3 linked regions of the Schizosaccharomyces pombe genome follow. The protein of the gene in region 2 binds, or shares a complex with, the protein of the main gene of each other region. Each region holds a gene or a part of one and is shown on either strand. Other genes may lie near its edges.

Region 1 (3,628 bases), 1.1 Mb from region 2:
TACATCTGTCAAATTCATTATCTTCCCCCTTTTTAAGAAGGAGGATAGCTTCTTGCTCTCCAACGTTGAATCGTACAGGTTCAGCATTCTTACCTTCGTTGGCATGATAACGAGAAAGAAATGATATTTTTTGTTCAGAGAGTCGAACAAACTGGGTGAAAAGTATGTGAAGCGCGTAATCAACTGCCGTATGGTCCTGCTTCTCAGAATACAAAGGACCATTTTCGACAGGTTGATCGTGAGCAATTTCATTCAAGCTCATTCAGGTTGGCATTATATGGTTATCTACTAAATAGACGAACTTCAAAGAAAAGGAGTATGCAAAGTAAGGGTTTGAGAGCAATACCGCTAGCCTACAGAAAAGTGAAGAAAAAAGTGTATAAAAAAGCTATCTCGTTAGTTTTTATATTTAAGCATGCGTAAGCAAATTGACTAGCAATCGATTGTTAAAATTTAGGCGTGAATGGATTCAAAACTAGAAGTTTGTAATGGCTAGCACTCCGAACAATAAAACCTCTCAGCACACTGCAACAATTTTTGCACATAAAGGAATATAACGCACTGCGTTGTAGTAGGTGTGGTACTATATAGTAGGTGATATACTTAAAAGTCTAACTTCAAAATGCCCAAAATAATTTTTAAATGAAATGTAAAAAAAGAATAACCTTCTGTATGTTTGGTCAAAACTTTCTGAATTCTATGTCAGAAAAGATAATATGGTACAAGTTCAGTTTTTTTTAATGATTTTTAAACCGTGGCAAATGCGATTTTTACACGCTAACTTTTTGGAAACGAATTATAAATATTTGTTGAAAAAACTTGAAAGTTTAAGAACAACATATACAATGCTTAATTATCAAATTATTCGCGTGGAAAAAAATAGAAGCATAAATCAGTAGAAAAAGAAAGACATATACGCAAACTTGTATACGCCCAAGACAAAGTAACAAAATAAGTTATAAATTTAATCATGCATTCACATTTTTGAGCATTAGACAGTAATAAACTACGATGACCGTGACGGGAGTTTAAATAAATAATAAAAAGAAGAAAATGTTATTTCGTGCAACCTTAAGTTGAAGGAAATCCAAAGGCATTGATGCATGTAATTATTAGTATATCCTTTTGAAGTATCTCTAAATAGTGAGCATTGCAGGTATGATGATGAGAGTTTCCGCATGGTTTCATGAAACTTGAGCAGAATTAGCAGAAGTTATATACTTATTGACACGGCGAATTGTAGGTTCATCTTTGGGCCTTGGTAACGTTGTCTCTTTGTCAAAAACAACACCGACGTATTTCCTCCGTTTGCGAAGAGACACATCCATTTGAAAAAACTTAACATATCCGGAAACAAGAGAATATATTGTGTGATCTTTACCTAGACCGGTATTATCTCCGGGATGAAATTTTGTACCACGTTGTCGAATTAGGATCTCACCAGCCCTAACGAATTGGTTTTCAGACCTTTTTATGCCGAGACGACGACCAGCAGAATCACCTGTGTTTTTCGATGAACCACCGCCATGTTTAGTAGAAGTACGAATAGGAGGGAAAGTGAGAATATTTGATGCTTTCTTATAAGCTAAACTAGCTTTAAGTAATTGAAAATTGTTAACACGAATAAAAAGCCCTTGATTGATCATTGCACGGTGAACTTTGCATCAAATGAAGTACGTATTGTAAAAGAAAAATGTGTTAAACTGATTTGGCAAATAATTAGTAATGTAGAAGGATACTAAATATTAAAAAAATTATATCTTCGTCGAAATATTGGTTTATACTAAAAGGATGGATTCGTTGTAACCAATCTTCGAAAGTTTCTACCTTACATTTCCTTTATCCCAATTTACGAGTCGTGGTAATCGTATAAAATATTCTTATTTTACAATAGTGTAGCCTTACATTTTCTGTTTGAAATTCCTTACTCCTAATATCTCGCTAAAAGAGTACCATTACCTACAATTTACTTTGTTTATATTGGAAGCATGATCGCTAATGAAAAAAAAAGTAAAAGACACTAAATTTACGTCGACAATTTCTATCCTTCTTTTTAATCATGGAAAATTCACTTGGCTCTTCAATTCAAACAGCATTAATGACTGCATGAAAGAAATATAACTTTTTCAAAGTTTTAGCCTTTATTGTATTGTCTTTATTACTCAATGATATTCAATTTTACTTGAACTTTTAAAGTATGCAGCTGGAATCACATATAATAGATTTTTCTGTGCTACTAATTGATGTCTTAATGCAATTTCAACTGTTTTGTTCCTCAAAGCAAAAATTTATGAATAAAAACGGATGTGCTTCGTGTTACTAGTTGGTGGCAGGAACCAGCAAATTTCATTTTCTTGTGAAGAAACCATAAATTCTACCTTGACAGCGATATGCTTCAAGTTATACAGTATATGTGCTGCCTTAGTTCGCAGGATAATGTATCAGGATATTGTCAAGCTTTAACTGGATTTGATTATACTCGGAAACTTCCTTAGGTTAAAAACTTTTAAAATTGGCATAAAATCTTTTTCTCGTGGATCTTCCAGCCATAGCACGACAGGGAGTACTAATTAAAGTACGTTTTGCTTAGCTGTACCTACGTTAATGTCGATCTGAAGCTTTAAGCTACTACTTCCACCTAATACTGTCGTGTCGATCCCATAACGGTGTGTTATCGACGATAAATACATCAATGTACGCGTTTTTTATTTTATGTAATTTATTAGAATATTTTTTAAAAGTTGTAAAATTTTTTGGTATATATTTTTAAAACAGGGTGGTGTTGCATTTCTAAATATTTCTCCATGTATATTGATTATGCACTTTTCCGTTTTCCATGATATGCCAGCTTTTGTGGCACGAACATAATTCTATGGGATCAGGAAGAGAGAAGAAAATAAGAAAGCTAGGAGATAACTTTTCATTACCATATCTGAAATTTGATTGTGACCATAATGACAAAAATTATCGCGCGTCAAATAGGCCATTTGGACTTTCAACTGGACTGTCAGTGCAGTTGAATGCTTCGAACATGACTGATCCCTTTAAATTTTTGTTAGATAATTGGCATACAATTTTCAAAAATGGAGCAATTAAGCTTCTGCCACCTGAGGGATGGCAAATACCTGTTGTTCTTGATCAAGGCGCTTTTGAGTTTCAGTCAAAACGCCAATGTTTAAATAAAGGTTGTCTCAATTATGAAAAAAATTATGATTATTTTAAGAAACTTAAAGCATTTCATGAAAGTCGCGGTTTATATTTTTATCACCCACCGATTATCGGGAATCGCCCAGTTGATTTTTTGCGTTTGCGTAATGCAATCTCAAAGTTTACTAATTCCGGCTCTTCATTAAATAATGAAATTTTACATAAAGTCATAATCTATTTGCGTCTTGAAGATACTAAAGAAGTGAGGCAGGTTCTCACTCGTTGCTATGATCGATACATCAAACCATTTGAAAGGGATTCATCGCCATCATTCAAATCAAAAAGATCAGAGAGCTCAACTCGGAAAATTAGAAACACTCGTAGTTCAGCTCAGCAAGAATCCCCTATACCCGAAACTTCTGCTCAATCTCCTGTTCAAACCATCCAGGTCAACGGCTCTACGAGTTTGAAACGACCTCTT
Region 2 (6,859 bases):
ATACGTTGTACAACCACTTTCCTGCATTTATGGAATATTATACCTCGAAGGAGGTAGCAGAATGGTTGAAAAGTATCGGATTGGAGAAGTATATCGAACAATTTTCACAAAATAACATTGAAGGACGACACCTAAATCATTTAACCTTGCCTTTACTGAAAGACCTAGGCATTGAAAACACCGCCAAAGGCAAACAATTTTTAAAACAAAGAGACTATTTACGAGAGTTTCCACGTCCATGTATACTGAGGTTTATTGCCTGTAACGGGCAAACTCGAGCAGTTCAATCACGAGGAGATTACCAGAAAACACTCGCTATTGCTTTGAAAAAGTTTAGCCTTGAAGATGCTTCAAAATTCATTGTATGCGTTTCACAGAGTAGTCGAATTAAGCTGATTACTGAAGAAGAATTTAAACAAATTTGTTTTAATTCATCTTCACCGGAACGCGACAGGTTAATTATTGTGCCAAAAGAAAAGCCTTGTCCATCGTTTGAAGACCTCCGCCGTTCTTGGGAGATTGAATTGGCTCAACCGGCAGCATTATCATCACAGTCCTCCCTTTCTCCTAAACTTTCCTCTGTTCTTCCCACGAGCACTCAGAAACGAAGTGTCCGCTCAAATAATGCGAAACCATTTGAATCCTACCAGCGACCTCCTAGCGAGCTTATTAATTCTAGAATTTCCGATTTTTTCCCCGATCATCAACCAAAGCTACTGGAAAAAACAATATCAAACTCTCTTCGTAGAAACCTTAGCATACGTACGTCTCAAGGGCACAATCTTGGTAATTTTGGTCAAGAAATTTTGCCAAGAAGCTCTCGGCGGGCTCGCCCTTCCGAATTGGTTTGTCCTCTTTCCTCTCTGAGGATTTCTGTTGCTGAAGATGTTAACCGACTTCCTAGGATTGATAGGGGATTTGATCCTCCACTTACTGTATCTTCTACTCAGCGTATTTCTAGACCACCATCGCTTCAAAAATCCATAACCATGGTTGGTGTGGAACCTTTATACCAGTCCAACGGAAATGAAAAATCGTCGAAGTATAATGTTTTTTCAGAAAGCGCGCATGGCAACCATCAAGTACTTTCCTTTTCACCTGGTTCATCCCCATCATTTATTGAGCAACCATCCCCAATTTCTCCAACTTCCACTACAAGTGAGGACACAAATACACTTGAAGAGGACACTGATGATCAGTCTATCAAATGGATACGTGGTGCGTTAATAGGTTCAGGATCGTTTGGACAAGTTTATCTCGGTATGAATGCATCTAGTGGTGAGTTGATGGCTGTTAAGCAAGTGATCTTAGATTCTGTTTCTGAATCAAAAGACCGCCATGCCAAACTTTTAGATGCATTAGCGGGTGAAATTGCTCTTCTACAGGAGTTGTCTCATGAGCATATTGTCCAATATCTCGGTTCTAACTTAAATTCGGACCACTTGAACATTTTTTTGGAATATGTTCCTGGGGGGTCGGTTGCCGGATTGCTTACAATGTATGGAAGCTTTGAGGAAACGCTAGTCAAGAACTTTATTAAGCAAACCCTTAAAGGCTTAGAATACCTTCATTCACGCGGCATTGTACACCGTGATATAAAAGGTGCGAACATCTTGGTTGATAATAAAGGGAAGATTAAAATTTCGGACTTTGGGATATCGAAGAAACTTGAACTAAATAGTACCTCTACGAAGACGGGTGGTGCTCGCCCTTCTTTTCAAGGCTCTTCTTTTTGGATGGCTCCCGAAGTGGTGAAGCAAACTATGCATACGGAGAAAACAGATATTTGGTCTTTGGGATGTTTGGTAATCGAGATGCTCACTAGTAAGCACCCTTATCCGAATTGTGATCAAATGCAGGCCATTTTCAGAATTGGGGAGAACATTCTGCCGGAATTCCCTTCTAACATTTCTTCATCGGCCATAGATTTCCTTGAGAAAACGTTTGCCATAGATTGTAATCTTAGACCTACAGCATCAGAGTTGTTGAGCCACCCGTTCGTTTCATAAGCCGGCTAAGTTATGATGAAAACAGAAACATTATTTTACGATCTATCTTTTTTATGTTTTTTTGCATCATTATCATTGCATTTATGCCATTTAGAACTAATGAATTTATTTAACCTATAAACCGTATGATTTAAGTTGCTATATTTTTCTACAATATTCATGTTTTTAATGATTTTGTGAATGTCCTTGATAAATACCATTATGAGTTTAGTTACTAAAAAAATACTATTTTACATGTTCAGTTTGTTTAAAAAATATCCATTGATTATTCCTTTTCAAGAAAAAACTTTTTATTTTTATTTACTTTGTGAAAACGATAACATAAATATATAATAACACATATCTACGGGAATTCTATCACTTAAACAAGTAAAACTCAAAAACGTATGTATGCATTAGTCGTAGAGAAGGGGATTTTTTGTTCACTCCTTGAGGAGAAAAGATTAGGTATAGTAGATATAAAATAAATTGTCTACTATCCAACATAGCCTTCCTTATTTCCATCTGTAAATGGAATAAGACTGCTGACGAAAAAACGAGCCAAACGGGTATCTTTGGAATTGGTTGTTATATTTACGTTAAATCCAGGTAAAGAGTGCGGATACATCTCATAAACAGCTTCAATTTGGGGAAATAAAGGCATGACTTCACTTGGTAAACCAAAAGATATGTTTCCTGTTTGATCTCCGCTTGTAGGACTCAGGCCCTTGAAATCATGAAGCTGAGGAAGAACCAACTCAGATAAGATTGAAAGAAATGTATACATAGATTCTCCAGTTAGAGTAACCTTTACACCTACTGGCACACCTGAACGAAGTTTCCAGGGAGAAACGTCCTTACGTGCATAGACTATTTCGGGCTGCAAACCCGTTATAGAACGAAATGCCATCATTGTACTCAAGAGCTGCGTTTTGTCAACGAGTGCTTCTTTATGCATAGTGCTGACGACAACTTTGCTAATAGAAGGAAGGTTTTTAGGATTAACGGACTCCTTTACTGGTAACAGAGGCTTATTACCACGCATTTTCTGAGGAGGCCGGTTTTTATAATAAGGGTTATCACCAATCCACCTTGGAAGTCTGTCTTTCTGTGTATGTTCATCTGTGCTTAACGCTGTATCTATGTCATGTCGATATGAAGCAGCTAATACATCCGGTAAAATGGTATCATGCAAGTGTTCTTGTAAGCGATTTAACATGGTGGGTCCTGGACGAAAATACTCAGAATTTGGATCCCATCCTGGTAGGGGCCTATTCTTGCCCAGTTTTTGCTTTACAGTGATGGTTCTTCGCTGCAGAAAGTTAACTGATATTCTGATATTTTTTCTTATCCCAAGCATTGTTAAAAATTAAAAAATGAATTAAAACAAGTATAATGACAAAGAGAAACCAAAAGCGACAAAAATACAACAGGTTACTTTCTAGGGAATTTTCGTGAAAATCCTTTTGCTTTATAAGCAGATGAGCACTTGTGTTATAATTTACCAATAAATTATAGTAAATAACACAAATCCGGGAAAAAATATTTATAATCACGAAACAAGGAAATTGTAAAGACCAATGTCCACAAATGATACCTGTTTCTCAAATCTTCAAAGGAAGGTTTTAACAAATGGTTATGGATAAAACAGGTAAGTCTCGCAACCAAAACAATTTTGCAATGGATCTTAGGTACTAGGGCTGGAAGATTGCTCGCGTTTGTCTAGTGTATTGTCATGGTTAGTGTACCGTATTACCTAGTGCCAAGTAAGGAAATCCGAGGCATCGTTATAATCATATGCCACACGATTTTGAGTGCCAAGTGTAATAGAAAGTATTGTACTTGTAACTTACAAACTTATTTAAACAAGTTAGCTTTAAAGCTTTAAGCTGATGTCTTTCTGTTTTTTTTTATACGTCGAAAAACAAATGTTTTTCCTTCAGCTGGTACATAAAAAAGCAGCTAATTGCTCTTCTTTTACAAGATGATTTTATTTTTGTATTTCTCAAAATCGTGCCAAATGGCATGCCACACATATTCAAATTATTGGAAAGTATTATTACTAACTGGCTCTACAAACTATTTGGATAGGATAGTGATGCATGTCATAAGATCACTTTCATGCAATAACAATACTAATCCAATTCGTTCTTTTGTATTCACTTTGTTCTTGTTCGTTTTTTACCTTCTTTCCTTTCAATATAGATGTGTGATGATGAATGAGAGATGCAAGAAGCTTAGCTCAAACACAATCCTGAAAGAGTAAAGTACTCAACATAAAATAATGCATTTATACATTTCGTACCTTTATCAATCTATTATGCAACAATAAAAGCATTTTATCCAAAAGAAAACAAGTTGTCTTAATACTTGAAAAGATCAATAGATTTACTTTTAGTTTGGTTTTCTAAAAAGAGAATCACACTTGATAAGAAATTGATTGCCTCGAATAACTCAAAACTAAATTATCTTAAACAACAGATACCGCCAGTGTATACTCAAAAATCATAGATATATGTTTCGAATTCGTAACACTTTAATGAAAAACCAAGCATTTCATAGGAAAGACAAATTTACACTTTAGTTTTGTGTCCAGGCATTACGATAACGTCTGGTAAAGACATAAAAAGAGGTATAAGATCTGGCACTTGAGAATCGCCAGTCATTACAATTTGGATACAGAACAAGCTCTAGAAACTCAAGATAGTGCAGTAAATGTTTATAAAGAGCATTTCTGCTTAGAATCACAAAACAAATTGCACTGAGTAACCAAATATTGAATATTCACTGTCCAAGCTCATATGCTTATTATCAATCAATTGGCAAGCTGAGGATATCCAACAAGTCAGATAACTTCATAATTCGAGGCTAAAGATTCTATTTAAAGAATTCAACGCAGTCCTATGTAAACAATTAACCCATTCTATGATATATATTGTAACATTGGGAAGCGCCTTAATTGCTTGTGTTTAGGTCAAACCAGAACAGCGCTATGATAACTAAACAACGTTTTATTTTCCCATCGACCATATTTTAATTTAAGTGTCGTGAATACCCGTACACTTTAGGCCATTTGATGACTATTCATACTTATATAAAAGTCAAAGCCTTTCTTTAGGCAAGTGAAGAACCATTTCTAATTCGTAAGCACAGTGTATAAACAAAGAAATCCGTGATACATTATTTTGGGTTATTTCACTTCGTGAGAAATAAAGCAAGAAATTTGTTCGTTGTTGGCAGCAAAGTTAATTGACTGCTTCTAACAAACTTCAGAATTTTTAATGAAACATTACAATCAACAATACAGTTTAATTATTGCTGATGTTAACCATTTTCTTTAATAGCTCAGACAAAACCAAATGTTCCGGAGGTTCCGTAGCAGGCGTAGAAAATGTGTTTAAAGCAGGGCTTCTCAATGGGCGGAATAAAACACGTTCACCTTGTAAATGTCCGTTTTGCGGAGATCCGTTCAAGTGTGTCTCACAAGAACTGAGATTCCCAGACACTAAAGGATAAGAACTAGTACTTTCACTAAATGGTGTGCTAGTCCTACTAAAACCAGAATCGACAGCTCTAGGACTCTCATTTGAAAACGTGCGTTGTTGTAATGAATGAACAGAGCACCCGGTAGTTTGAGCAGGTATAGGTTGAACAGGTCCAACGAGGCTATCCACCATCCTCCCAAATTGCAGACTTGCAATACTAGATGACTGATTAGCTATGGATGGTGTTCCAGATAAAAAAGGAGATGTAGGAGAAGATTGAGCAGATGGAAAAGAAGATGAGGACATTAGTGAATAATTCGATAATCCCATTCCAGTAAAAGCCTGTCCGCTAAATGGAGATCTGTGGGGTGTTGGAGGCGAAGAAAAAGATGTGCTATTTGGTGTACTTTTCGCTCGCATATTCAGTAACACATACAAAGAATCTAACGCAATTGTTATCAGTGCGTCAGAATCATCAACTTGGGGACCTTTACCTTCCTCATTAAAAGGATAATGATTTGAAAAGTAAAGCCACTGTAAAGTATCACGAGGAACTCCACAAACCTTAACAAGAGGGAAAAAGAATAGCAGGCCGATACTTTTAGAAGAACAGCGTACAAGAACAGAGTCGTCGGGAGCTGTTTGATTTGTGTTCTCCAAAAAGAAGCTTAAACGATTGAATATCTGTGAAAGTCCAGTTCGAATATCTTTAGTAAGCCAGACGTCCCCATTTTGCAAACACGAAGAAGTCAAAACACACAAAGGTAGAAGCATTGGCATAAGTACAGCATTTGAAGACAGAGATCCATATTGACGACGTTCGACTAGATCATCAAAATTACCGTCCTTCTTACTCGACACACCAGAGGTAAGAGCTTGTAAAGGAAGCTGGCTATTCACTGAATCAGAAAGGACTTCAAAAAACATAGTTGTAGTTTGTGTAGCAAGCTTTAAATTCGGATACGACTCACCGTGTTCTCCAGAATCACTAAAGCCAATAAATGGAGCTAAAACCCTTGCAGCCAATGCACAATATGTCATCTGTAATAAAGAGGATTCTGAAAACAAGCCGCTTTTAAGTGACTCAGAAAGAAGAAATCGAACTCGTTTGAATAAAGGACCAGAGTCTTGTATGTAGTCGGCATCAGTATTACTAAAAGCAATTGCATACAGACGCAAAAACAGGGAAATGGCAGAGGATTCCTTATGATATAAACAGGGATTCGAACCATCATTAGTTTTGCCGAAGCAACGCTTCAAAGCAATAAATAAACTAGTCTTAGCCGATGAGGCCGCAACATTGTTAGGGGATATGGATGACAAAAAGAAAAAAGAAATAGCAGGTAAAGCTTGAATGAGACGTTTATCCTCTACATTAACGTTACC
Region 3 (2,782 bases), on a different chromosome or scaffold from region 2:
TGCTTATGTATAAGACTCAACAAGAGTGTCTCTGTTGCTTATAATAGCAGAAGGTTGAGCATCTTGAAGTTTAAATATAGATTCACAGACAGCCAATTCAGTAGCCGTAGTATCAAGTCCAGCAAACGCACACCAGTCGTTCACAACTAGACCAGCACCGATAACATCGGAACCACGGTTGATGGTACCGGCAACAAGAGGAACTTGAAGAAGTGATGACAATTCATCCTGTTCCTGAATGCTAGTACGAGGGTGAACCAAAGCACCTTGATTGCTCAATGCACAATACGAACCGGTTAAAACATTGCCTGCAACGGTTTGACGGAAAACTTCAACATCTAAGACATCAGCAATAATTTCCTCGGTTTCACGCTCAATATCAGGATGAACAAGGGCCACATAGTCGTTGCAAGCCACAATGTTTCCTAGAGCTGAAAGTCGTTCATCAACACGTTGGATTTTGACAGGATCTGGAAGAGAATTGCGGAGGTGCTGTAGTTCATTATCGGTGGTAGAAGAGGGAACTAACAGACCTTTTCTATTACCACATGTCAAACGACCAATGATTCTGGTTCCTCCAATTGTGGTATGAACAACGGGTACAACATCACCTAACTCTGCCTCGAACACGCTGTTATAAAAGTTAGTGAAAAGTTGATAAATGTAAAAAATGCCAAAAAAAATAATTTGTCGAGCTGCATCGAGTCAAGGAATAATAAAGGTAATGAACAGCAAACCGCCAGAGTTTAAGTAGTGGTTTGCATTTATGTAGCAAAGTCTCTTTTACTCAATTAAAGAGTAGTTAGGCTACATCATTCACATATGTGCTATTTATTTTTCTCATAATACGTTCGACTGGTTAAGGATTTTAAGAACCTTTAAAAAAATTTTGAATCGTTTACATTTAGAACATTAAATTTTGGCATCAAATAAACGTTAAGCTTACCTGTAGAAGTTTTCAGAGCCTCCAAGCGCTACAAGTGCGTATGAGTTTGTGAGATTAGAAAAGACACCAATCCTATAATTTGTTAATATCATGCGTCTATTAAGCAAAAAAGCTGAGTAAACTTACTCATTAGAATTCTCGAATTGAGCACGAAGTGCCATTTTGGTAAAGAAAAAGTTTTATCCCAGCCAAATTTCACATCTTAAAAATAATAATCCATTGAACATCGTTAATATGATATTAGCATTGTGAAGCAGACACGTAATACCAATTAACATAATTTTTTGTGATATATCGGTAATACTGCATTACACTAATGATTTACTAGGTTGCGTATCACTATATGTTACATGTTGGAATATTAGTAAAGATCCGTTTATTGACAGTAAACAGATAAGTAGTCGTCTATACTCATAGACACCATGTGATTACAACTACTAGAAAGATGATAATTATAGATGTTACTGTAAATCGCTCCTCTCCATTTTTTAACCATATCGGTGACTTACACTAATAGACTTCTTATAACAATAAATATAACATTGTAGTTAATATACTGCATTCCACTAAATGTGGATCGCAAAAAATTCATCGTAATTCAATGTATCGTTAAATAGATAGCAACGTAGTGAATAATAGTGAACAATAACGAGCTTGCGATATGAATTGTATTTTATCGGTTGAACTAAAAGAGTTTCAATATTTAGTGTTAAACGGACTCCACGAACTTCTAGTTTACCATAATGTCATTCTTTCGAGTTCGTTTAGAAAGGTCAGCCATCGGGCTCTCGAGGTACGTGTTTTGGAAACGAGAAAAACATGCTTGTAATTGCTAACCAATATTTTAGTAAGGTGCGCAGCGTTTTGCATTCTTTGAGGTTAACAAAAAGACACTCCGTAGTCTATTGCGATGTAAATCCAATCAATGCGGGAAGAATTTTTAAAGTAAAAGAACTCGTTAGTGTCAGTACTGTGAAACAAAAGTTAGCCGCTGGGCAAGAAAAGAAGTCTCTTGCTTCTAGTAGCGGATTTACAGTGATACATCGATACAATAACGGTTTAAAAGAATTGAATAACATGTTTGAAAGTTAAATTTTCATTCTAGTTATATTTATCGTAATAGTTCATCTAACCAACTTTGGTCTTTGTTTGGCTTTTCAGACATATAGTTCCTAGAGTCGTTTCTTGAAATATGCATGCTGGAATGATTAGAAGAAATGTAATTTTCCCCTTTATCTTCTGTAATGGAAGGCGGAGCAGACTGATCCATACTTTCAAGAAAAGAATCAATATCTTCTTCCGCTTCAGCATGGCTAATGTTTACCTTTGGCTTTTGTACATTATAACGCTTACGGAATTCTTGAATTGACTTTTCATGCTCAACGCTCTCCAACATGTCGGCTACTTCTTCACGTTGGATAGTCCGAACTTTGGACTTGGGTTTTTGGTTGCTAATTCCCAAACCAGTAAGGGGCCGTGCTTGTAGTTTTGAATACTCGAAATCTTCTTCTTCATCTTGAATTGTATCTCCATTCCCCACGGTCTTCAAACTTTCCAAACTTGGATATTCTTCCTCATTGTTATCTTCATCAAAGTATTCCCCTGCATTTTTAAATCTCCATTCGTTATTTCCCAAATTTTTTTTACGAGGTTTTACAGGTGCATCATGAATGTCATGCTTTTTTTTATACGCTAATGTCGCTTTTCTCTTCCATTTATCTTGTACTACCATATGGGACGTCGTGTCTGAAGAGGCAAGGAGGAACCTGTACCCTATAAGACAATAAGTTTTTTTACAATGTTGGTCAATTTTTTTCTTTTCTCGTAGTGGTTTAT

What was found. The genes of interacting proteins can lie anywhere in the genome.
Region 1: mrpl7 (region 2) and mrp7 share a complex: the UniProt entries of both Schizosaccharomyces pombe proteins name them as parts of the mitochondrial large ribosomal subunit.
Region 3: mrpl7 (region 2) and mrpl33 share a complex: the UniProt entries of both Schizosaccharomyces pombe proteins name them as parts of the mitochondrial large ribosomal subunit.

Annotation. Positions count from the first base shown.
Region 1 is NC_003423.3:2,860,979-2,864,606, forward strand, and holds mrp7 (mitochondrial 54S ribosomal protein bL27m), read right to left. Parts: upstream 1,783-3,628; 5' UTR 1,647-1,782; coding exon 1,185-1,646; 3' UTR 501-1,184; downstream 1-500. Other genes in the region: morphogenesis protein Mor2, read right to left, coding at 1-262; Lid2 complex histone demethylase subunit Lid2, read left to right, coding at 2,837-3,628. UniProt on the Schizosaccharomyces pombe protein: Component of the mitochondrial ribosome (mitoribosome), a dedicated translation machinery responsible for the synthesis of mitochondrial genome-encoded proteins, including at least some of the essential transmembrane subunits of the mitochondrial respiratory chain.
Region 2 is NC_003423.3:1,735,467-1,742,325, reverse strand, and holds mrpl7 (mitochondrial 54S ribosomal protein uL5m), read right to left. Parts: upstream 3,685-6,859; 5' UTR 3,349-3,684; coding exon 2,485-3,348; 3' UTR 2,229-2,484; downstream 1-2,228. Other genes in the region: MAP kinase kinase kinase Byr2, read left to right, coding at 30-2,009; ebs1 (EST1 family protein), read right to left, coding at 5,297-6,859. UniProt on the Schizosaccharomyces pombe protein: Component of the mitochondrial ribosome (mitoribosome), a dedicated translation machinery responsible for the synthesis of mitochondrial genome-encoded proteins, including at least some of the essential transmembrane subunits of the mitochondrial respiratory chain.
Region 3 is NC_003421.2:2,221,479-2,224,260, reverse strand, and holds mrpl33 (mitochondrial 54S ribosomal protein uL30m), read left to right. Parts: upstream 1-1,678; 5' UTR 1,679-1,689; coding exon 1,690-1,739; intron 1,740-1,794; coding exon 1,795-2,038; 3' UTR 2,039-2,057; downstream 2,058-2,782. Other genes in the region: tif6 (translation initiation factor-like ribosome biogenesis protein), read right to left, coding at 4-631, 947-1,018, 1,073-1,107; SPOM_SPCC1919.07 (uncharacterized protein), read right to left, coding at 2,058-2,678. UniProt on the Schizosaccharomyces pombe protein: Component of the mitochondrial ribosome (mitoribosome), a dedicated translation machinery responsible for the synthesis of mitochondrial genome-encoded proteins, including at least some of the essential transmembrane subunits of the mitochondrial respiratory chain.